Mytilus edulis: one gene and its partner. The protein of the gene in region 1 purifies or fractionates together with the protein of each later gene. This does not show direct contact. Links are inferred from orthologs where the notes say so. Each region holds a gene or a part of one and is shown on either strand. Other genes may lie near its edges. The genes, in order: ubiquitin-like modifier-activating enzyme 6 and ubiquitin carboxyl-terminal hydrolase 48-like.

The links.
Region 2: the proteins of ubiquitin-like modifier-activating enzyme 6 (region 1) and ubiquitin carboxyl-terminal hydrolase 48-like fractionate together in Homo sapiens (co-fractionation; 3 studies listed by BioGRID, with this or other methods). This does not show direct contact. The link is inferred for Mytilus edulis from reciprocal best matches to the Homo sapiens genes UBA6 and USP48.

The regions. Positions count from the first base shown.
Region 1 is NC_092347.1:10,915,753-10,929,519, reverse strand, and holds the start of ubiquitin-like modifier-activating enzyme 6, read left to right. Parts: upstream 1-6,769; 5' UTR 6,770-6,880; intron 6,881-13,767. Other genes in the region: ubiquitin-associated protein 1-like, read right to left, coding at 1,535-1,571. UniProt on the Homo sapiens protein: Activates ubiquitin by first adenylating its C-terminal glycine residue with ATP, and thereafter linking this residue to the side chain of a cysteine residue in E1, yielding a ubiquitin-E1 thioester and free AMP.
Region 2 is NC_092344.1:102,352,329-102,365,502, forward strand, and holds the start of ubiquitin carboxyl-terminal hydrolase 48-like, read left to right. Parts: upstream 1-6,917; 5' UTR 6,918-7,043; intron 7,044-12,289; 5' UTR 12,290-12,299; coding exon 12,300-13,174. Other genes in the region: DALR anticodon-binding domain-containing protein 3-like, read right to left, coding at 1,605-1,781.

The DNA of each region.
Region 1 (13,767 bases):
CCTCATATGGTTTAGGGGTGGGGAGCTCGACCGTTTCCAAGTTATCAAACAGGAGGGGGTAGAGTGACTCAAAGAATACCACCTATATATCATATGATTTACTTACATTAAGGTATATATAATATAGTTGCATTATTTGTGAAAATAAAGAAAGAAACTTTCAGCTACTTTAATTGACCCTTCAAAATTGAGAAAAACAAATAACCCTTCAAAATTGCAGTAATATGTTTACACTTTAAAAGCATCTCACATGCATTATCATCATTTATCATTTATAAAGAAAATTTAGACTGTGACCATGAACATGTATATTATTAGATATACTGTTCCCAGCTGTCACTTTGTATTGGATTTTTAGATTAAAAATTTGTCAAAAAGTAATTTTGAGTTTCTGAATAAAATATTTTTCTGATTTTTCTTTCTTTTACATATATCTTTTGGTTTACAATTCTAGTGTTTATATTCATTAATTTACCATGCATAGATGTGTTGTTTCACCTGCTTGGATTTATTTTGTAAATGATCGCCAAACCCGGAAGTACCCTTATCCGCTTCCGGAATCGGATCCGATATTATAAAATTTGGTCTTCACGGCCGCCATTGTTATGTGTTTACAATGCTGTTTGTGTCAATCAGATACGATTTTACTCGAATTTATACAATATTTGTCGGCGATTTTCTGCATAAAGCTAGCGGTTGAACAAAATGAACATCGCTGTCACGACTAATAATGATAAAAATAAGTTTTTAGCTCGTTTAATTGGAGACTTTGGTGAACATGGTGAAAAGGTTTGCAAAGTAATTTCTTGTTTTCTTTCAAGTGGAAGGTGACTACGTCGGGCGTAGCTAGAAACTAACTATCCTATTCGAAATTCCGCTTGCAAAAGTGGACGGTCGCGGACCTCGGACCACCGCTAATTTGCACACTTGCCTCCAAAATGAAAAGCTACGAAAATTTCTTTTTCCAATTTGAAATTGCCGCCAACAGCATGAACAGTTGAACTTATTATATAATAGACTACTGACGTAGTTGTACTACGTATTGATGACAAACAATATTCCTACGACTTTTGTCATTTGGGAAATCTAAACTACTTGTCTTAAGAGATTTTCGGCGATTAAATATTTCATACAATTGTTCTTTGACATCTTAGCTAAAAGCACAAGTCATAATGAACTACACAAGGATTCTTAATAAGCACTACTTCCTATGTGTAACTTTAAAACTTTTGGATAAATTGACGATCATTTAAGGTTTTTCTGGTCATATTTTTTGTAATCCAGAATAAAAAGTATTAAAAAAGTGTTCAATTAGTTATATATAACATAGTAGCGAGCTAGATAATAACAATGGCAAGTATTTCAGCATTTATTGGGTAGAACACAAATCTAGGGTGCTCGCATAATGCAGCTTAACTGCATAAAAACATATTTATATATTAATTGCATAATTTATATACACACTACATTTTGAATATCACTATAATAAAGCATATCTCTATTTTATTATGTTATTCCTCTATTGTAACCATACCAAAACTTGCTTCCCGTTCCACTGTTCTGTAAGCCATGTCTCAACTCTGAAATAAATATACAACTTAATTGGATTAAATTCATTTAAAATTGATCGACAAGGACAGTTTTCAGTAGCAAATATCACATACCTACTTAGCAAGTTAGGGAAAAATATGATTTGCGTAAGCCATGTTACAGTGTTTAAGTAATAGACAGACATATATATATATATAAACAAGTCTAAATTGAAAACTACGTTCAAACCTATGATTACGTTGGATAAAAACCGCAATTTTTATACGTGTGCATGTAAAACAAATTTCGTTGTAGAAGGGTCTAAATATATAATAGGCTCAATCAACCTGTAGATTGCAGATATTGTTAGAGGTATTTGGACTCATTGCTACATGAAGGATGTCCAAAGTCAAATGTATCACCGTACTTTACATGTACATTTGTAGTATCAACATAAAAATATCATTGTCAAAATTCAGGGCTACATGTAGTTTCACTAACCCCATATTCATATATGTAGTGTTGCATAGTATAGATAATATCAATTGGATGAGCCTATTTACTTTAGCACCAACTAATAATACTAGATGTCACTCCTTAAACCTCTTTTAGAAACAGTGTAAGAAGACACATACATCAGTCAGGGGTACTACTTATACAAGTAATTTACTTGTATACATGTAGGTAAAAAAAAAACCTAGTTATGTCCCTTAGACATTCAGATGTCATTCTATCTTCTTTTCTTGAATTCTTAGGATTTCTTTGCTCTAATAGAATTTTAAATGGTCTGCCCTTTGCAGATGACTTTACTAATCATTTACTGTAAGTGTCATTTGATGGACAATGAAAATCCCATTTGTTTGTTATCTTCAGAACACTGCTCATTTAAAAGCCCCCAAGGAGCAATTTTTGAAGGCCTTGCACAAATACTTAAAAAGTAAAATCACAAAAATACTGAACTCCAAGAAAAATTCAAAAAGGAAAGTCCCCAACCCTTACCATGCGGTGACTGTCATGGGGGGGAGACCACTGTTATTTGGCTACAAAATATTTTTAGAAGTACGCTTTATGATACTTATACTTGTACAAGTAGTACCCCTGACTGTACATGTAGACTAAATACTTTTTTCAATTGGATCAGTGGAACAGCCTTCATATTTAACAGTGACAGCAAAGACTTTGAATAATTTTAAGTCAGTGTTAAATGTGAGAATTGGAACCCATATAAATCTATATATTCATGTTAATTGTTAAGCTAAGCGCACCTTAATAAGTTCTATTTTTATAAGTATAATATATATAAATCATTTTTCTGTTTGTGTGTGTAAATATATTTTTATGTGATTATTATGAGATGAGAAATTGCATTACAACAATCCAAGATGAGGGGTCAGTAGAAGACTTTGGCTTATTTCAGGACCCGAAAATAAAGTATAAAGGTGGTTTTCTATCAATTTCAATATGAACATACATTTAGTATGTTTAATAGTATAGATATATTTTACAGACTTAAGATGTATTGAGTGAAAGTAAAGTATATATTCATCATTTAACACCATTTAAATAAGTTGGTTCGAGTTAGCAGTGGTACAAGTGTAACGGCGACCCTATGTTTTGGAACAGAATTATGTCCCTTTAAAATGGACTGTTGTAAAATTAACATTTAATTACTATTGTTAATATGAATTATTGATAAAAATTGTTGTTTAACATGTTTATACATTTAGTTACATTATTGTGCTATAACTCATTGAATTTATTCTCATATTTTGTTGAATTTGCAACTTACAGTTTAGTTATAGAGTGTTCATATTTGAATAGTATTTATTAAATAACTGATAATTTAAATAATTGTACGGGGCTTGTTTTCATAAGCCATTTGGTTGATAAAACGACCTCTTATTTTAGCTTTTTAGTAAGAGCTTACTGGTGTTGCACACCTCGATGTCTAACTGGTCTTGCACAGACCTCAGTCACTATTTACACAAAAGGTCTGGCACAGACTTCATTGTCTAGATGGTCTTGCACAGACCTTGCTCACTGTGTACACGAAAGGTGTTGTCAACACGAAAGGTGTAATGCATTTCACAGTATCTAGACACAATGTCGCTGTTGTGTCTAGAATTATAATGCATTTAGCTAGACAAAGGTTAAAATGACAGATTAAGCTATGTCACTTTTAAACTGTATGTGAATTTTAACTTGTTGTTCATATTCATGTTTCATGTTTTATCTTTACAAATTGTTGATATTTGTGGAATTATATGTAATTTGCTAATAAACTATGAAAACTTGCTAGTGTTAAGTTTTGCAAAGCCAAATATGAAGGATCAGAGACTCAGGATTCCTATACCTACTCTTTACACGGTCTGGGGTAAAAATATGTTAAAGTTGACACAGAAAATACACAACGTAAAAACCCCTCCGGTTACATTTTGGTGGCAGCGGTGGGATCCTGAGGTGAAACATCTGATCTTCTCATTAGGCGGCAATGCTATTGATATAGTTAAACATGTTAAGTAAAATTGTCAAATTTTAATATTGTAAAATAAATGTCATTATGCTTGCTTGATGTTAATTTTGATTTTAAAAGATATTGCCATGTATATGTATGTAATAATGATGAGTAATCATTTCAGTTTAACTTTAGAGACTGATTATAGATTGGCACAGAGATAAAGTATGTATTGATATTGATAGAATGTAAATGCAATTAATTGCATAGATGATAAATTTGAAATGGTTTAAAGAAAGCTTAACTTAGATTGTTTAGATAGAATGGTATATTTTGATTATATTTGTCTTACTTAACACATTCAGTAATTACACATAGCTCAATATAAATGTGTATGAATCCGCAGGAACAGCATTGTAAAGTACCTCATTGTTGTATCCTTTAGACCCATGAAAAGGGATGTCGCTTACATCATTTTATTTTATGCTAACTTGCTTCAAGATTATTATGTTTATGTGGATATAAGCTTGGATGTCAACATAATTGTTTCTGCCCGATTGACGTGTTTTAATCGCTAATGTGTGCCTCTGGTTCACGTAATCGCTTTTGGCCTTTTATAATAAAGTGCTGGTTGTTGCATGATTGTTTTATTCTATAGTAAATATCTCTTAAACACATACAGAATACATGTATCTACATCTTAGACAGTTACATTATTTCCATAGCATTTGACACAACAGTTTACTGGGTGACGATTCAGTTTTACTATTTGTTTAATTTTGTTGTTCAATTTTTCAGCACTTGTTTTCAGTTTATGGTGATAATATGAGATAATATACGCGTGTTAGAACTTATATTGGAGATGACCTGGCCAGCATTTCTAGTATTCAAATGGTGAATGAGTTGGACTGTGTACCGTGTGCAATATATATGGATGAAAATACTGTGTGTATATAATGGAGATTCATACCAGCCTTGTTTTTAAACTTCATGGCTTCAGTTTTTTTAAGGAGGGAGGAATGTAACGGCGACCCTATGTTTTGGAACAGAATTATGTCCCTTTAAAATGGACTGTTGTAAAATTAACATTTAATTACTATTGTTAATATGAATTATTGATAAAAATTGTTGTTTAACATGTTTATACATTTAGTTACATTATTGTGCTATAACTCATTGAATTTATTCTCATATTTTGTTGAATTTGCAACTTACAGTTTAGTTATAGAGTGTTCATATTTGAATAGTATTTATTAAATAACTGATAATTTAAATAATTGTACGGGGCTTGTTTTCATAAGCCATTTGGTTGATAAAACGACCTCTTATTTTAGCTTTTTAGTAAGAGCTTACTGGTGTTGCACACCTCGATGTCTAACTGGTCTTGCACAGACCTCAGTCACTATTTACACGAAAGGTCTGGCACAGACTTCATTGTCTAGATGGTCTTGCACAGACCTTGCTCACTGTGTACACGAAAGGTGTTGTCAACACGAAAGGTGTAATGCATTTCACAGTATCTAGACACAATGTCGCTGTTGTGTCTAGAATTATAATGCATTTAGCTAGACAAAGGTTAAAATGACAGATTAAGCTATGTCACTTTTAAACTGTATGTGAATTTTAACTTGTTGTTCATATTCATGTTTCATGTTTTATCTTTACAAATTGTTGATATTTGTGGAATTATATGTAATTTGCTAATAAACTATGAAAACTTGCTAGTGTTAAGTTTTGCAAAGCCAAATATGAAGGATCAGAGACTCAGGATTCCTATACCTACTCTTTACACGGTCTGGGGTAAAAATATGTTAAAGTTGACACAGAAAATACACAACGTAAAAACCCCTCCGGTTACACAAGTTTGCATTGGTACGAGTTTTTTTTTAGTGGTACGAGTTGACGTTGGTACGAGTTTACAATGGTACGGGATAACTATAATTCAAATGTCGCTATTGGTTATCAATGCACATGAGTCATGATGCACAGTAAAACTGAAGGACCTTTGAGAATAGTCACACAATATCTGTTTTCAAACTAAAACGTATAATTAATATAGTGTATTTGTAAAGCATGTCTATTTGTAATTATAAACATGTCAATGAAAACCAAACGGATGTACATATGCATAATTTCTTCAGTGGTTTTTATGTTTATAATTTGTGACAGTCTGATTTTTACAGTACTTCAACTTCGTTTTGACTTCAGTGTTGCAGCTCTGGTGCTTTAAAACAAGAATTCGCTAACAATTAATTGTAATTACCATTTTCATACTATATTCTCTGTTATTATTGTCCTTTTATTCTCGATGATGTCATGGTCAGCAGCGAAATGACAATTCAAGAAAAGATAATCTATTATTGATTTTATAATGTCAACTTCCGGTTTAATATTGAGAGGCTCAAGAAGGGTTATTATTTGATCTATTAGATCTACCAGGTATTAAGTTGAAGTATTTCATGTCGAATAACCTTTTATGAATATGAGTAACTATAAATGTTCATTGGGTTTATTTTCTGTTACATGAATAATAAGGAAATAATAATAAAAATCGTTTATGCAATTTACTAATACCTGAGGATTTTTTTTAATTCTGGCTTTTGTGCTTGTCTATACAATTTTACTATATGTCTGCAACTACTTAACATAGTTTTAAAATTATTCGTTTCTTTCGTTAAACTATTCAAGAAATTTGAAATAGGGCCTTTGAGTCCTTTGAAATAATTATGAGTTTTTTTACGAGATATCAGAGCCAAGTTCGGGATGACAATATTTATATTTTTTAATTTTCCGCTGGGCTTTCACAACTTCCGGTTAATCTGGAGTGATTTCCCTTTGGAAATGTTTTTTATTTTGCAGTTTCTAGCTCTTTGTTTCTGATACAAGCTGCATAATGTAAGCATATTGACAGTTATACACTTCAATCAAGTATTTTTGTTATGAAGATGAAGGTTGAGTCCCTTTTTCATGACTAATAACATATTCAAAATATTTGGTTTGTGCTATTAAAAATTTCTAGCTTTTTGGGTCCAAATTATAAAAACAACTATTTTTTGTTATCATCTCCTATTATATATGTAAGTTCGTGGTCTAGTTATTTAGACTGATGTGTACAGTGCTGAAGGTTCTGAGTTTGTCTAGGGTGTTAAAATATCAGTACAACAGTGGTGATTTTAACCCTCTGACACATATCTCTGTCTCTGGTACCCAGACCGTAGTAAAATCTAGAATAGGTAATTAGGAGGCCTTAGTTGGTCAAAGTTTCTCTGGAATTTGATCTGGAGATCAATCTGCGGATATCTTTTCGGTACTGTTTTCTGCCATGCAGCCCGGTGGTACTTACAGAGTTCTTCGGCTTTCTCCACCATAATAACAGATTCTGCCCTGTGTCCAAACACTCCCTCATGTTTGGGTGGGAATTGTCTTTGTAAATATTGTTGTAAACATGTTAGTGACACATCTTCATTTATCCCGATAGGGAGTGAACACAGATTCCACTGTGCCTACATGTATGCAGCTCTCAAGGGGTGCTCCTTAAACCGAGGGATCTACATACACACAGTACCATTCAAACGGATCGATTCGATTTCCGAGTTTTTTGAAGCCACACAGAGTACCGCGGATTTCACTCCCTAATTCCTGCAAAGATTCTCTCCCAACTCCGCGTGGCTGTTAATTGGTTTATTGCCCATCGGATGTACTAAAAATTAACAAGGCGTAACAACATAATTGGATTAGCCAGATAATTTACCTATGTACATTTTGTACATTTAATCGATCTTGATTGCACAGGTGTGCTATAAAATCACGGTATTAAAATTTTTTAACAAATGTTTTCCTTCCTTTGTCAGATAAAGATGTGAAATTATAATTTAGAATAAAATAATTATTATCTTACAGGTTTTTGTCCCATGTCATTATCTTTGAAATAATTTTACCAAAAAAAAAATGAAGAAATTTATTTAAACTCAATTTATTGAGCAATGTAAAATATTATGTTTCACCACCTCGATACATTTATACAGACTTGAATAATTAAAATTAAGAAAAGAAACTGTAAAGTGACAACTCTGTTGAACAATTGGAATAACTTCAAGTGATTTTGCTAGTGTTCGTCATTTTCGTATTTTACGAAACGGTTTTCAAATTGACGAAAGTATTTTATATCAATTGCGTCATTTAAGTTTTGAAAATGTAAAAATATATCGCATTAAATTACTATAATTTTACCTGCCTTCATGTTTTTGACAAGTTTATGACACTCAGCCATTGAACGTTTACAAAAGATGTTAAAAGTTGTGATAAGTAATCTGCTTATCGCCATCCGATAGGTCACTAATCCTTTAAATATTATTAAACCTCAATTGCCCATCATAATATTCTGTTCCATATGAGCGTCACTGATGAGTCTTATGTAGACGAAACACGCGTCTGGCGTACTAAATTATAATCCTGGTACCTTTGGTAACTATTCCAGTTAAATCAGTCAGCGTTTCATTTTCAAAATTTCTAAATTGCCCACAGTTGGCAGTTTTTTATCATATTTTTGTCATTTGATCACAATTGATTCCCCCGTTCAATATCTCATCATAATTTCAATTTTTCATCAACCATAAATTTATATTATTGACCATGGACGTATAACTAATGTTCAGGTCTATGTCCTGTTTTGACCGATAATATAAAAAATTAAATAGCTAAAGAAGATGTGTTTTTGTTTATTCGGAAAAGAATTATATTTTAGATTAGATACATTTTGTGTAGTTAATCAATTGTTAAAGGACCTTGTGGAGCCTCAATAGAAACGCACAAAAATGTCTTTCTGCAACTTTTAAACCTGAATGAATTTTCCCACGGTCGTCCAGAAAGATCACCTGAGTTTACTGGTACGTGATATTATTTGCCGCCCTTTAAAAATCTTGTGCTGCGGATAAAACCAATGTTAACTATTGTTATACGTCTGCAAAATTGAAAATTTTTTGGTCGTATATTGGTATCAAGTTGGCGCCATCGTCTGTAGTCGTCGTCGTAGTCGGATGACATTTGGTTTTCGCACTCTAACTTTATTAAAAGTAAATAGAAATCTATGAAATTTTGACACAAGGTTTATGACCATAAAAGGAAGGTTGGGATTGATTTTGGGTGTTTTGGTCCCGACAGTTTAGGAATTAGGGGACAAAAAGGGCCCAAGTAAGCATTTTTTTTGGTTTTCGAACAATAACTTTAGTATAAGTAAACAGAAATCTATGAAGTTTAAAATTATGTCTATAACCACAAAAGGAAGGTTGGGATTGATTTTGGGAGTTTTGGTCCCAACAGTATAGGAATTGGGGGCCAAAAACAGGTCCCAAATAAGCATTTTCTTGTTTTTTGCACAATAACTTTATTAGAAATCTAATTATTCTGATTTAGGGAGTTTTGGTCCCAACAAATTAGAGGCCAAAAGGGTCCAAAATTAAACTTTGTTTGATTTCATCAAAAAATGAATTATTGGGGTTCTTTGATATGCCAAATCTAACCGTGTATTCAGATTCTTAATTTTTGGTCCTGTTTTCAAATTGGTCTACATTAAGGTTCAAAGGGTCCAAAATTAAACTTAGCTTGATTTAAACAAAAATTGAATTCTTTGGGTTCTTTGATATGCTGAATCTAAACATGTACTTAGATTTGTGATTATGGGCCCAGTTTTCAAGTTGGTCCAATTCGGGGTCCACAATTGTTATATTAAGTATTGTGCAATAGCAAGAAATTTTCAATTGCACAGTATTCTGCAATAGCAAGAAATCTACAATTGCACAGTATTGTGCAATAGCAAGAAATTTTCAATTGCACAGTATTGCGCAATAGCAAGAAATCTTCAATTGCACAGTATTGTGCAATAGCAAGAAATATCTAATTGCACAATATTCATTGCTATTGTTGTCTTTTTTCAAAACTACCGGCTCTACCGTTTTTTATTGGGAAAAATGCATATTTTTATTGAAATTGGAAAATTTGTATATTTTATTTTGAACACATCTCCGATTTTTTGCTGACCTTTGCTGTCTTTTCTGCACTGTTTTTTCATGTATATTTTGGTTGTCAGACATTTTCAACCTGAAAGGTACTTTTTGGAGAGGGGAAAGACACAGAAACAATGATGGTACTTAATGCATTGAAAACTATGTGTTACAAACACCATGAAATTTTACAAAAAGGAAAGATGGACCAAGCAGTATGCATGGAATGCCAAGCTAACTGCCTCCATCTACGACTAGATTAGCTGCTTACATCTAATTATATGCTAAGACCTTGGCAGGAGTTCACCTTTTACTCAAATTTTACGATATATGAAAGATTTTCTCTTTTTTTATTAATTAATGATAATTTTTATTTTTTAATTGGTTACATTATCTCTTAAAATCTATTACCATACTGCCATATATTTAATCCCATTCTTATTGTTTTTGTTTGATCTACCGTACTTATTTTTACCTTTTACCCTTTGATTTTATCATTTTTCTTTCACATTTAAATCCTTTTTTTTTTTTTTTTTAAATCTATTAAACATATGATAGTAACGTCTCATAAAAAGGGATCAGAACTGTTTTTAAAATCATAAACTCCAACCTAGGTAGAATCAATTCATAAATGATGTAAATAGCACATAATTTTACACAATTGTTCTTAAAATTCACAGTTTTACCTATATATAAGGTTTTTTATATGACCGCAAAATTTGAAAATATTTTCGTCGTATATTGCTATCACGTTGGCGTCTGCGTTGGCGTCTGCGTTGTCGTCGTCCGAATACTTTTAGTTTTCGCACTCTAACTTTAGTAAAAGTGAATGGAAATCTAAGAAATTTTAACACAAGGTTTATGACCACAAAAGGAAGGTTGGTATTGATTTTGGGAGTTTTGGTCCCAACATTTTAGGAATTAGGGGCCAAAAAGGGCCCAAATAAGCATTTTCTTGGTTTTCGCACTATAACTTTAGTTTAAGTTAATAGAAATCTATGAAATTTTGACACAAGGTTTATGACCACAAAAGAACGGTTGGGATTGATTTTGGGAGTTTTGGTTTCAACAGTTTAGGAATTAGGGGCCAAAAAAGGGCCCAAATAAGCATTATTCTTGGTTTTCGCACTTTAGTTTAAGTAAATAGAAATCAATGAAATTTAAACACAATGTTAATGACTACAAAAGGAAGGTTGGTATTGACTTTGGGAGTTTAGGTCCCAACAGTTTAGGAATTAGGGGCCAAAAAGGGACCCAAATAAGCATTTTTCTTGGTTTTTGCACCATAACGTTAGTATAAGTAAATAGAAATCTATGAAATTTAAACACAAGGTTTATGACCATAAAAGGAAGGTTGGTATTGATTTTGGGAGTTTTGGTCCCAACAGAATAAGGGGCCCAAAGGGTCCAAAATTAAACTTTGTTTGATTTCATCAAAATTGAATAATTGGGGTTCTTTGATATGCCGAATCTAACTGTCATGACTGTGTATGTAGATTCTTAACTTTTGGTCCCGTTTTCAAATTGGTCTACATTAAGGTCCAAAGGGTCCAAAATTAAACTTAGTTTGATTTTGACAAAAAATGAATCAGTTAGGTTCTTTGATATACTGAATCTAAAAATGTACTTAGATTCTTGATTATTGGCCCAGTTTTCAAGTTGGTCCAAATCGGGGTCCAAAATTAAACTTTGTTTGATTTCATCAAAAATTGAATAAATGGGGTTCTTTGATATACCAAATCTAACTGTGTATGTAGATTCTTCATTTTTGGTCCTGTTTTCAAATTGGTCTACACTAAAGTCCAAAGGGTCCAAAATTAAACTTAGTCTGATTTTAACAAAAATTGAAATCTTGGGGTTCTTTGATATGCTGAATCCAAAAATGTACTTAGATTTTTATACGACCGCAAATTTTGAAAAAATTTTCGTCGTATATTGCTATCACGTTGGCGTCGGCGTCGTCGTCGTCGTCGTCCGGCGTCCGAATACTTTTAGTTTTCGCACTCTAACTTTAGTAAAAGTGAATGGAAATCTATGAAATTTTAACACAAGGTTTATGACCACAAAAGGAAGGTTGGTATTGATTTTGGGAGTTTTGGTCCCAACATTTTAGGAATTAGGGGCCAAAAAGGGCCCAAATAAGCATTTTCTTGGTTTTCGCACTATAACTTTAGTTTAAGTTAATAGAAATCTATGAAATTTTGACACAAGGTTTATGACCACAAAAGAACGGTTGGGATTGATTTTGGGAGTTTTGGTCTCAACAGTTTAGGAATTAGGGGCCAAAAAAGGGCCCAAATAAGCATTATTCTTGGTTTTCGCACAATAACATTAGTTTAAGTAAATAGAAATCAATGAAATTTAAACACAATGTTAATGACTACAAAAGGAAGGTTGGTATTGATTTTGGGAGTTTAGGTCCCAACAGTTTAGGAATTAGGGGCCAAAAAGGGACCCAAATAAGCATTTTTCTTGGTTTTCGCACCATAACGTTAGTATAAGTAAATAGAAATCTATGAAATTTAAACACAAGGTTTATGACCATAAAAGAAAGGTTGGGTTTGATTTTGGGAGTTTTGGTCCCAACATAATAAGGGGCCCAAAGGGTCCAAAATTAAACTTTTGTTTGATTTCATCAAAATTGAATAATTGGGGTTCTTTGATATGCTGAATCTAACTGTCATGACTGTGTATGTAGATTCTTAACTTTTGGTCCCGTTTTCAAATTGGTCTACATTAAGGTCCAAAGGGTCCAAAATTAAACTTAGTTTGATTTTGACAAAAATGAATCAGTTAGGTTCTTTGATATGCTGAATCTAAAAATGTACTTAGATTCTTGATTATTGGCCCAGTTTTCAAGTTGGTCCAAATCGGGGTCCAAAATTAAACTTTGTTTGATTTCATCAAAAATTGAATAAATGGGGTTCTTTGATATACCAAATCTAACTGTGTATGTAGATTCTTCATTTTTGGTCCTGTTTTCAAATTGGTCTACACTAAAGTCCAAAGGGTCCAAAATTAAACTTAGTCTTATTTTAACAAAAATTGAAATCTTGAAGTTCTTTGATATGCTGAATTCAAAAATGTACTTAGATTTTTTATTATGGGCCCAGTTTTCAAGTTGGTCCAAATCAGGATCTAAAATTATTATATTAAGTATTGTGCAATAGCAAGTCTTTTCAATTGCACAGTATTGCGCAATGGCAAGAAATATCTAATTGCACAATATTGTGAAATATCAAAAAGAAATTTAATTAGAGTTATCTTTCTTTGTCCAGAATAGTAAGCAAGAAATATCTAATTGCAAAATATTGTGCAATAGCAAGATTTTTTTTTAATTGGAGTTATCTTTCTTTGTCCAGAATCAACTTAAATCTTTGTTATATACAATATACAATGTATATTCACTTTTTACTACCAACTGATAAATTAAAATAATCTTTACCATTCAGTGATAACAAGCAGTTTTTTTTACATCTTAATATTGATGTATTTAAATGAGTAGTTATTGTTGCAAACTCCATTAGAAATTTTAATTGAGATTAGTTTTGGAATAAGGGAAAGGGGGATGTGATTAAAAAAATTGGGTTCAATTTTTCTCATTTGAAATTTCATAAATAAAAAAGAAAATTTCTTCAAACATTTTTTTGAGAGGATTAATATTAAACAGCATAGTGAATTGCTCTAAGAGAAACAAAAATTTTAAGTTCATTAGAACACATTCATTCTGTGTCAGAAACCTATGCTGTGTCAACTATTTAATCACAATCCAAATTTAGAGCT
Region 2 (13,174 bases), on another chromosome or scaffold:
ACTGATGCAAAATGATTATATTTCTCACAGTTTCTACATTGTTTACCATATGCAGGACATTTGTTTCCCTCACAATGTTCAAATCCACAATAACCACAATTAGACTTGTTTATATAATCCTGTGACCTATTATATCTTGACCTGTTGCTTTGTACTTTATTTATGGAACTTGTACCTATGTCTCTGTGATCTCCTTTCATATCCTTCATCTGTAAACATGTGTCTTCCATCTGTCCTGCCTCTTCTACGAATTTATCTAAATTCCATCCTTTGCTTATAGCCCTCTTTATCAAATCCTGATTGGTTATGGTTTGAATACAATGTTCCAATATTCTTTCGTCGCATGTAGCTTCAAACTCACACTCATGTGCCTTTTCTCTCAGTCTCATTACATATGTTACTGTGTATTCATCTCTAAATGGCTTCATTTTTAAAAATAAATACCTGGCATGATGTTTGTTCTTCTTTGGCAAGTAATATTTATTTAGTTTGTTCTTTAATACTTTATACTCATCTTCTCCTTCTTCATCTCTTAGGCTTCTTTCCAATCTTGAAATATCTTTTCCTCCAAAAATGATTAATGCATCCTTTTTATCCGCAGGTTCTGTTATTCTGAAATATCTAAATTCCCTCTCTATACTTTCCATCCATTCTTCCCAATGTTTTCCTGTAGATATCTGATCATCCGACTGTAGAAACGGTTGTGATCGTAAATTTCTAGTTTCCGTAATTACCGTTATCTGCTGGGGCTCTCCTCGGTCCATAATCTTTATTTTATCAGTATCTTCTTTTAATTCCTTGTTTTAGCACTATCTTCTTTCAATTCTGTGTTCCGGTAAATTTTCTCTTTATTTGCGCTGCTAAACACTGCTTCCTTCTTTGTTTTTCATCCTCGTCGCCATTGAAAGATCTGAGCAAGACTTGATGGTTCAGATAGTAATTTAATAATGGCTGACAAATATACAATTGGTATCGCTGTAGCGAAGTTACGTAACAAGTAATTGTCCCGAAGGTTTGTGCGTGACGTTCCCGGAATAATCACAGATATTACAATACCAATCAGGGATATCAAAGATTTCAAATCATACCTAATCAGCAATAAAAATTCAATCAACAGTAATTAAAAGTAATTATAAAATAAAGTGTAACAATGCAGCCAAGAATTTTATCTAATTAATATTCTGTATTTAACTGTTAATAGATATACATAAATTTTAATATTTATAAATATATATTTCTTTCATTAATGTAACATATATACATATCATAAATGAAAATAGGGCGAACGAACCCAGGGCGAACGGATTACCAGGGCAAACAAACTCAGTGCGAACGAACCTAGGGCGAACATGTAATCAGGGCGAACAATCCCGATACCATTGTGTATAGTACAATGCATCTGATTAACCAAAATTAACTTTAAGCTTAACATTGACCATTGAACCAAGAAAACAATCTATTCACAGTCAATATGTAGTTGTGAGTTATGATTATATTCGGTCCGAGTTATCTTCATAGACATGCCTATTTGTTTTTTTTTTCTAGACGCATGTCGGGTCCGTTCAGATCGAATTATTCAATTTGTCTATTTTAACGCACTGTACCTCTACCGAAACAGCTTTTACAAGACCTGTTGGCATGGAAACATCACCATTTTTGAGATCCCTGTTTCTTTTACAAAGAACAAGCCGCTGTACACAAATATTATGCTTTTTCAAGCATGATTCAACGAGTTTTTCACAAGTTTTGATACTTTGTTGAGTCCACGTGAAACTTTCCATGTTTGTTTACATCGACTCTGCATCTTTCGTGCGTTTTGAATATTTGGGCTGTACTTGATTTGTCTACTTAAAATAATCTGATCACATTACGTATAACCTGTGACTATCTGCGAGTACTATAGTAGTCCCGGTAACCGAATAACTGTTACGTTTTGTTTTTGACATCAAGAAATGATTAAAAATTAAATATCAGTTTGTCGACACGGAGTGTGTAGGTCTTCCAATGAGCACCAAATGCGCCCATTTGAAACTGCCGTTATAAATCCCTGATTAGATTTAAGATAGAACTCAGAACTTGAGTGATCCGTAAAGATGAAAGGGATTGGAAACGTGGAAAATTAAATTTAGTCAACGATTTCGTTATATTTAAACATTTGACTTTACACAATTATTCTCCATTCCAAACTAAACTTTGAAGGCAAATTGAAAGAATTTCTATTGCTTTGTTTATAAAAAAAAGAATGGCCAACGTAAATACAAGTATCTTGTCTTAGAGAGGGATAAATTCTACCTTGCAAAAAATCATTCAACATGTTGAATGCATCTATCCCATCGAACTAAAGATAAAAGCTGCCGCATATCTTAATTTACGTCTAGAAATTGACAATAAGAGTCGGTTGAAAAGTCTTTTCAGTGAACTCTCCATTTCTATGTAGCAACATTACACAGCGCTTGCATTCTCAGATCCGGACATCCTGGCATTTACATTTGTCAGGAGGTGATGTCATCCGGAATCCTCTAGATTTTTCATCTATTTGAAGGGGATTACTGATTATTTATATTGCCGATTATTTTTTAACCAGAGGTTATAGTATGTTAAAAATCAAAATAGAGATATTATATAGTGTCTTTAACAGTATTAAAAGAGTAAAATTACTATATTCAACTGGTTACGATATATATCAATTAAATTAATTTGCAATAAGTCTATAGACTAATAGTCTAATAAAATCTAGAGGAATCTTATCCGCATCACCTCTCAACATTGTTTACATAACAAAAATGCTAATCATTTATTGGTCAGTTACATGTTGTGATGTCACTGCAGATCTGAGAATACGAAGTATTTGTCTCCCAATTGATACAATATTCCTGAGCTTGTACTTCCTATTATGATTTTTTTTATAGAGGTTTATAATTTGCTGCTCACAAGAAAGCTATAGCTTTTTACCAAGAGTTCCAAATGGTGAAGTTGAAATCATCCCTTGGCTGACTCCATTATAGAATATCCGTTTTACAGTGATCGAATATTTTCCTTATATGTCGTGACTACAATCCGTTCCCTTTTCAAGAATGTGACATACCTACTTAGGCAAATAGTATTTACCGGAATTGTAATAACATGAGCAACACGACGGTGCCACATGTTGAGCAGGATCTGCGTATCCTTCCGAAGAATCTTAGATCAACACCAGTTTTTGGTGGGGTTCGTGTTGCTTAGTCTTTGGTTTTTCTATGTTGTGTCTTGTGTTCTAGAAGTTGTCTGTTTGCCTTTTTCTTTTTTTAGCCATGGCGTTGTCACTTTATTTTCGATATTTGATAAAATATACTCGGAAGATGTGGTATGCCTGAGTGCCAATGGGACAACTCTTCATATGAGTTCGAATGTGCCTCTGGTATCTCTCGTCCCTCTTTTATAACACAACTTAAAACCTTTACTAAATTATTTCAATAGAATCAAAGATTTTGGTTCGGTACTTGTGGAAAACTTATTATAAACGGGATCTCACATCCTAATTTGAACGGTGATGTTGTTTACCGAACTGCCGGTAGTTTGTTTTTGTTGCATTTGAATAAATGTATGTAATGTCATCAAATCAATGTATAAATAAATAACAGATTTTTGCAGAAAGCCGTCTAGATTTTCTTATTTTGTTTGGCGACCAAAAAAAGACTATCCTTGTATTGGAATCTACACCAAATAAATCATTTAATTTGTTTCAATGTTCACATGTTGATGACTACAAACCCTATTGTGATAGTTGTAACATGTATTTGTGAAAAAAAAAACCATACCATGTTTTTATATGTGTAGCTTGAGTTCAATTAAAGGCAGTCATCGAATGGTGCTATCATGTATGTTTATAGTAACTGAGTAAATAATTAATTCGTCCAACTATCTTGGTAGTAGAGTTAATGCAGAAGGAAATATCAAAGAATTAAGAAGTCAACATCCGTATTGGTAAAATCTGGTAAAGCAGCTACTGCATTCAAAAGTCTAAAGAACATTCTTATGAAAAATCAACAGAATTTCTAGAAAGACTAAAATTAGATTGTTTATATATGAGCAATGTTAGATCAGTTCTACTATACGGTCCAGAAACATGGAATTAAACTTAACAAGTTCTACAGAAAATCGAGTTAGAGGATTTGAAGGACGCTGTTAGAGATGCATTGTTAACATCAATTGTAATTTCAAGCAGTGAGCTATCAGAAAGAACCGGTGTGATGAATATAGTATATAAATATATATGAGATCACGAAAAGGCGGTGGAAATATATTGGACACATATTCAGAATGGATAACAACAAGGCATGTGAAAAAAGTGCTGACGTGGACACCACAAGGGACAAGAAAGTCTGGAAGACATAAAGGCACATGGAGAAGAGATATACCAGCAGAGATTTAAAAAAAAACATGGTTACACCTGGACTCAGATAGAACGAGTTGGAGGTCCGTTGTTGGTGCCTTATATCTTCAAGAACACGAAGAGGATTAAAAAAGTAAGTATGCTGATAGAGAAAGAGTAAACATATTTTCCAATTACCGACTGCAGAGACATTACATGTACATGTATATAGTACTATTATAGTTGTTTTTGTCGAACTTTTCCAATTTTATACCATTTTCAACAAACTATGAGGGATATAAACATTAGTGTCTTAAAAAAAATATCCGGCAGTACACCGATAATTGACCATACAGTCTTGTGCTAAAGACTATAAACCATATACTAGTCTGGCATGAGCTGTCGAACCATTTTCAAATGGAAACATCTTTTAACCAATTCGAAAAAAAATGGAGCATACTATGCTTTTAACTTTTATATGTCATCTATGGTATCTGCACTGTATGTTTAGAATTGTGTGCTTTTCATGACTTTTGTATGTATATATTTTGTTATTCAGTCGATTTTAAAAGCTCGCTTGAGCTTGTGTTATGAAGTTTTGTTGAATATCGACTTAAAATAAAATTGAATTGAAAAAAGTGTGACAGTAGTCTCAGACTAAAGAAAACCTTTCTTCTGTCTTTTTTTAAAACAATTTATCAGATTGAAAATATATCAGTTTATTTAGAAATAAAATTAACGGTACCAATTTTCTTGCACCAGATGCGCATTTCGACAATACATGTCTCTTCAGTGATGCTCGTGGCCAAAATATTTCAAATCCAAAGCTTATATAAAAGATGAAGAGCTATAATCCAAATGTGATGCTAATGTAATTGAGTCAAATGAATGTTTATGCCAGAAATGACCAATGACGAATTTGTTTGATTCCATTTTGTTGCTTTCCATTTTCGTTCCATTCTCTCCATTCCCGGTATTCCATTTCATTCTCCGTTCCATTCTCTATTCCTTCTACATTCCATTCTCCATTCCATTCCCCATTCCATATTCCATTCTCCATTCCATTCTATATTCCATTCTCCATTCCATATTCCATTCCATATTCCATTCCATATTCCATTCCATATTCCTATCCATATTCCATTCCATATTCCATTCCATATTCCATTCTCCATTCCATATTCCATTCCATATTCCATTCTATATTCCATTCTCCATTCAATATTCCATTCTCCATTCCATATTCCCATATTCCATTTTCCATTCCATATTCCATTCTCCATTCCGTATTCCATTCTCCATTCCATTCTCCATTCCATTCCCCATTCCATATTCCATTCTCCATTCCATTCTATATTCCATTCTCCATTCCATATTCCATTCCATATTCCATTCTATATTCCATTCTCCATTCAATATTCCATTCTCCATTCAATATTCCCATATTCCATTTTCCATTCCATATTCCATTCTCCATTCCGTATTCCATTCTCCATTCAATATTCCATTCTCCATTCTATATTCCATTCTCCATTCCATATTCCATTCTCCATTCCATATTCCATTCTCCATTCCATATTCCATTCTCCATTCCATATTCCATTCTCCATTCCATATTTTATTCTCCATTCCATTCTCCATGATTCGGACCTCTTCATTCCATTCTCCATTCTCCATTCTATTCTCCATTCCATTTTCCATTCCATTCTTCATTCCATTCTCCATTCCATTCATCATTCCATTATCCATTCCATTCTTCATTCCATTCTCCATTCCATTCTTCATTCCATTCTCCATTCCATTCTCCATTCCATTCTTCATTCCATATTCCATTCTCCATTTCATATTCCATATTCCATTCGCCATTCCATATTCCATTCTCCATTCCGTATTCCATTCTCCATTCCATATTCCATTCTCCATTCCATATTCCATTCTCCATTCCATATTCCATTCTCCATTCCATATTGCATTCTCTATTCCATTCTCAATTCCATTCTCCGTGATTCGGATTTCTTCATTCAATTCTCCATTCTCCATTCTATTCTCCATTCCAGATTCCATTCTCCATTCCATTCTCCATTTCATTCTCCATTCCATTCTCCATTTCATTCTCCATTCCATTCTTCATTCTATTCTCCATTCCATTCTCCATTCCATTCTCCATTCCATTCTCCATTCCATTCTCCATTCCATTCTCCATTCCATTCTCCATTCCATTCACCATATTCCATTCACCATATTCCATTCCATCCATTTTCATATTTACCATTCATCGTAACCGTTACATTCAATATTCCATTTAGGATTCCATTCTCCATTCCATTCTCCATTCAGCCCATTATCCATTCCATATTCCGTTCAATCTTCCATTCAATATTCCATTACATTCTCCATACTATATTTCATTCCAAAACGTTGCATGGATGTGATCCACTGAAAACAACATCCAAGCAAACTAGCCTTACTAAACATTGAACAACATGTTTCGAAAAGCGGCCAGTTTATTGTCGTCCTCGACCAGAATATATGAGTGATGAATCAAGCTCAATCTTTTTAAAGCATGTATCTGACCTTGATCAACCCGAAAAATTAGAAAGGGACAGAACTCTTCACTCTTGAATCTGAGGCGGGAATGACTATAATCGTCGTTTGAAATGACATTGTTTCCCCTTACATGTTCAGAAAAATAGTAAATATTCTTTCCTTATCTTATGAAAAGTTTCAGCTTTTGATTACACAAATGAAAACATTATTTCTGGTCCGAAAAAAACCAGCATTGATATTAAAAGTTTCGTTGTGAAAGTAGCATCACATATCCATTCATAAAAAATACAAGTTTGCTTATGTGCTGATTTCGTTTTAGAATATTTGGTATTTAGTGAACTGACATAAAAGAACAATACTTTTTTAATCAAAACAATTTAAACAAGACAAATCAACAGGGTTCAGGAAATACATGTATACAAATGTATTTATATTGGGTAGAATAATTTCTGGTTGGTCAGGTCACATAACCGCAAGCTTTAATACTTGTTTTTCTATATTTTTACTGTATTTATATATCAATTGGTTGAATCTTATTACATTTCAAATTTGAGAGTTTAATCATGAGAAATAAAAAGGTTGTTAGCATTTTCATTTGGCACTGTCATTGAGATTTATCCTGTCATTATTTTCCCTAGTCCAAATAATTATGACGTCTTGTAAGGCGTCAAAGAAAAAAATTATAATAGCCTTTCAAGACGTCATAATTATTCGGACTATATTTTCCCAAGCTTTAGAAAATAAAAATTTCATATTTTTTCTTAAATTTATGTATTAAACAGTCAGGGGACTTACTGAAATAAGTGATTTTTAAATCACTTATTTGAGTAGCAAATTCGAGGTTTTGTCACAAATTGGGATTATGTAGTTTTTTCAAAATTTTAAACACATAGGTTTAAATAATATCTTTTAATTAGTAAAATAAAAAAAAATGAACTTTTTGCTTCTTTTAAGTAGCAAGGTTTATGCCTTTGATGCTATCATTTAGCTGAAAATTCTATTTTAGTTGAAAAAATGCTATAATAATGGCTTTACATAATGAACTGATACTTTCTTAAAAGATTTTTCCCAGCAGTGGGAGTATTTTTCCTGTGAAGTTCAAGGTTTCATCTTTCAGATTATGTAATAAAATTCTACTGTTCGTGATAAAAATTCCACTGTTCGGGGGTGTTGAAATTAGTGGGGGTTATTAAAAGAATGATACTTAAAGAAGTGATTTTTGAGAAGGAAATTGAGGTCTGATACTTAAACAAGTGATTTTTATGTCATTATCCTAGATTCAGTACAAGGTCATCACCTGAAATGACCTGGTCATCCTAGACAACACAGATGTTGGTTCTGATAAGTTTAGAAACATAATTAGTCCCTGGATCATTAGTATTCTATATTTAAAGCTACAATAAGATTAAATCACTTCTTCTAGTGATTAATTTGTACTACTTAAATAGGTGATTCTTAAAGACAACTCTAACTTCCAACCTTTATGGAAATAATGTTACTTGAATCAGTGATTTAGAAAATCACTTATTTAAGTAAGTCCCCTGACTGTTAAAAGATGAAATCTTATATTTTAAATTTGAGAGTAACATTTGAGAAATAAAAAAAGCATTTGAATTTGGTCCTGTGACCTGTCATTGTCAGCATTTTTCATGTCATGTTTTCTGATTTTTTTTTTATAGTTTTTTATTAAAAATTAATGTTTTAAAAGACATTTCAAATTTGATAAAAATCCTTTGAGAAAAAAAAAAGTCATTAACATTTTTTTCATTTGGTCCAGCTGTCATGGTCAATGTTGGTCCTGTAATTGTCAGCGTTGGTCAGGTCATGTTTTCAAAAGCTTTTAAAAAATAATTCTATATTTTTTCTTAAATCTATGTATTTTAAAAATTATAAAATCTTATAATCTGATAACATATTAAATTTGAGATAACCTTGAGAAATAAAAAAGTAATTAGCATTTTCATTCTGGTCCTGTCATTTAGTCCAGTGACGTCACTCCACTCAGAAGTGTAACCTGTTTATAGTTGGTTGTTTCATGCTGATTCCTGTAAAAGTGTTTGCACTGATTCTTTGAGCTTTGAAAAGTGTTTTACTGTGATCTTAAAGAAATATATATATATATATATGTTGAAAATGTCATTGACTGGAAGTAAATATGATTTATCATAGTATACATGTATATATTATTTATGTCTAAAAATATTGTTTTGAAGGTACTTAAAAAAAAAACTTGTTATTAAGTTTATAAATTGATTTAATGAATTCCTGTCTAATGCTCAAAGTAATGAATGGGTATTCAGTAAATGTACATGAGACAATATTCTGATTAAAGCTCCCATAGGTAAAGTGTATTTCACTAGGCCCTTATTACTGTAAATTCAGAAATTATTGCATACATTTATTATTGCAATTTTCTTATTATTTTAGACTAAAATGCGATTTTAATTTTTACAATGTTGAGAAAAATCCTGTTTAAGGTAGCACAATACAAAGATTTTTCATTCTTTAAACTGATGTAATTCCACTCATCTTTCTTTAAATTTTATAAATGAGGTACCAAAAGAAAGAAGGATTAATCTTTCAAATTGTGATAATTTCATTATGACATAATTATTACATAATTAATTGTTATGTAATTAGTTGCCATATTGTGATGTCCATACTTGAATGAATTTAGCTTCTTTGTTATTCATAGCATCCCAAAATATTTTATAGATTCTTGCACAACACAGTTTGACCTTCAAAACCGTGTCTCAGATTTTTCCTATTGTATTTCATTCTCTCATAAATCTTCAATGAAGTTTGCAACATCAATTCATAAGAGACCACTAAATTCAATTAGGTATAAAATTTGTTCTATTGATGTTTTTGGAAATCTGAGACAATGTTTTGGAGGTCAAGCTGTGTTGTACAAGAATCTATAAAATATTTTGGGATGCTATGAAGAACAAAGACACTAAGTTCATTCAAGTGTGAACATCACAATATAGCAAATAATTATATATATTATGCATACAAATGGCACATCAATATAATTAATTATCTGCGAAATCGTCCCCCACTTTCAATGATGATTCTAAATTATAAATATAACCAAAAGTTGTTAATCTATAGATAGTTAAGACTAATGAAAGCTAATCCAATGTAAAAATATTTCTTTGCAATTTTTTAAAACTTCCTCAGAAAAATACTCGAGCCACTTGACTTTCTTAGCTCAAAATTAACGTTTTTACACAATATTTGAATAAAGTAGTTGAAGATTATTCGCTTCTCAAAGTGTAAGACGCAATAAAAATCGTATGCTTGCACCATCCTACCGAAATACGGATTTAAATAAAAGTCCTGAACATTTCAACATTTCTTCGTATATTTTGAACAAAACCGGTTTTAACCAAATCACAAGTACGTGTTAAGATCCGACTAAATACCTATTTTCCTATATGGTCAGGTAAAGTTGCTAGAGTGTATTTTTAATAATAAAAAAATAACCATTGAATCTTCCTCAATTGAAAAAAAAGACAACTTGAAAAAAAAGTATTAAGACATTCGACTTTTTTCATATTTCTACCAATATTTAATTATATGTGATGAGGTTATATTTTTGCCAGGCTTTAATGAAAACCAAAGAAATCTAAAGTTTGGGGTGAAATCCATAGCACCCCATTAAAAGTAAATGGTCTGTACTGAAATGTTTTTAATGCTTTAAAAAAAATTGGCAGCATAGCTCCTAAGGACATGTTTTAATTGAATTCACACAGGCCACACAGTTTGGGTATATTTAATATTGTAAGAAAGAGAATAATTGCAATGAGTGGGGCAGCCCCCCTTATCCTAAAGGAGCATACTCATTGCAATCAAAGATAGATTTAATATAGAGAGAGTATATTTATTTTTCAAGCTAACCATTCATTTTCTCTACATCTTTGTGAAGTTAGGGTCGTTCTTATTGATTTGGCATGATCTATATCCATTAACATTTCAAATGAGCCCTTCCTCCGTACAGGCGTGTTTACAGATATCCATGACGATTTAAGTCACAGAGGAGTGGTTTCATCTTTGTCGTCTTCACAACGATTTGTAGAAAATATGCCATACTTCAAGCTGCTGTCGAATTATTTAACCACTGAAATTGGTTCCATAAAGTCAGGCTCCACAGATTCTGTACCCGATTTGTTTGAGACAGAATGGTTATCGTGTCAGTTATGAATATCCGCTGTATCATCGTCAATGATATCATCACACATCATTACATGTGCCTGAATCTGTATAAACAGTTTACTAATAAACTTTTTTGTTTGTTATTTGTCTTAAAATTGACACGAGACGACAGCATAAAGTACTTCCCCGTGACTTCATGGATACCTGTAAACAATTTCCATGTGCTTTATCATTAAATGGTCACATGAACGCTTGACGGGAAGCTAAGAAAAACCGAACTTGAAATGCGTAATTGACCCAGACTTTAAATCATTTCCGGAAAGGACCCAAAGTTCCGGATCGCGTCAATAGAAGTAATAAAAAAAAAATTCTTCAAATTTAAAGCAATAAAATTTTCACAATCGGGAGGATTTTCAAGGGTCGGTCGGTAAACTGCAAACAAACAATATTTTAATTTAAGCCTTACCCTGTCGCATTTTTCACAATAATTTCTGAATTTACAGTACTATAGATTCATTTATTTTCATGGGTATCAATTTCCGTGGTTTAAGGAAAACTTACATATTCGTAGATATTTGCTTTCATGGATTTGACAAAGTCTGCACTCATTCCTATAGAAAATTTGTAATTCGTTGGACATTTAAATTCGTGGTTCTCTTGTACCTAGAAATCCACAAAAATTGGTACCCAATAAATATTAATGAATCCACAGTATACATGTATATAATTAATTGATGTCAATACATTCAAAGAAAGGACACAACACAGTCAAACCTTGTTGTGTTAAAACAGGATCTACGTTTTGCATTCAAGTTGCTATATATATGCTTGCTCTCAGCAATAAATTTTTTTTTTGGGTGTTAAATCTAATAAAAATGATTTTTCTCAAAAAGCTTAGGATACATTTTTAACTGGAAGTTTATATTCTTGCATTGAAATTGAGGATAAATTAAAATAAGGAAAAACACATTGAAAAGACTGCGAGCCTTCTAAACATTGTAATTAACTCTAGGATGATAGTAAAACTTCATTTGCAACCCTCAAATCTACAATTACCCATGAAAACTCTTGAAATACAGTACTGTTATTGTCTGATCACAGAATACTGAGGTCAAAGAACTTACTTTGCCTGATTCTAACTTTGATTGTTTTATATGTAAGATTTATTAAGGATGCTAGCATAATCACTGGTTTTAGAATGTTGACTAATAGACATAATACTATATATTTCAGGTTTTTGAAGATGCCTTCAAAGTTTCAGCTTGATAAAGCAGCTTGGCAATGGGCAGAAACAACTGATCCTGATAATGTCACGTTTGACCATGTTCGGACAGCATACAGATTGAACTTAAAACCATGTCCGTTAGGATCTTGTAAACGGAACTGCAAAGGAAATCCCCTTTGTCTCAATGCAATAGGAGAAAGAGTGTGGTTCGGGAAAATTGATGATGATGATTGGCACCAAATTGAAGATCCAAATTATGAGAGGCGGGATGATGATATGTTTGTTGGACTCAAAAATCTTGGAGCCACCTGTTATGTAAACACATTTCTTCAGTTATGGTTTCATAATCCTGTTATCCGAAATGCACTTTACAAATTCAGAGAACCAGATGAACATGTGACTAGAGATGTAACAGCAGAATGGTCACCTTCTTCCATTGGGGGTCATCTTCAAGCATTATTTGCTTTACTTTCATTATCTGAGAGAAGATATTTAGATCCTAAAGACTTCATAACACATTTAGGTTTAGATGCTGGTCAGCAGCAAGACGCTCAGGAATTTTCAAATCTATTTTTAACATTATTAGAAGATGCCTTATCTAGACAAAAGGATGCATGTGTGCGAAATGTTATTCAAAATCAGTTTAGGGGAGAATATGCATACGTTACTACTTGTAATAGATGTGGGACAAAATCTGAAAGACCATCAACATTCTATGAACTGGATTTAAGTATAAAAGGTCATAAAACTTTAGACGAATCTTTAAAAGATTTTTTACAGGAAGAGAAATTAGAGGGAGATAACCAGTATATGTGTTCTTCGTGCAATAGTAAACAGAATGCTTCACGAAAAATACATTTAAAGTACCTTCCACCTGTTCTCAATTTACAACT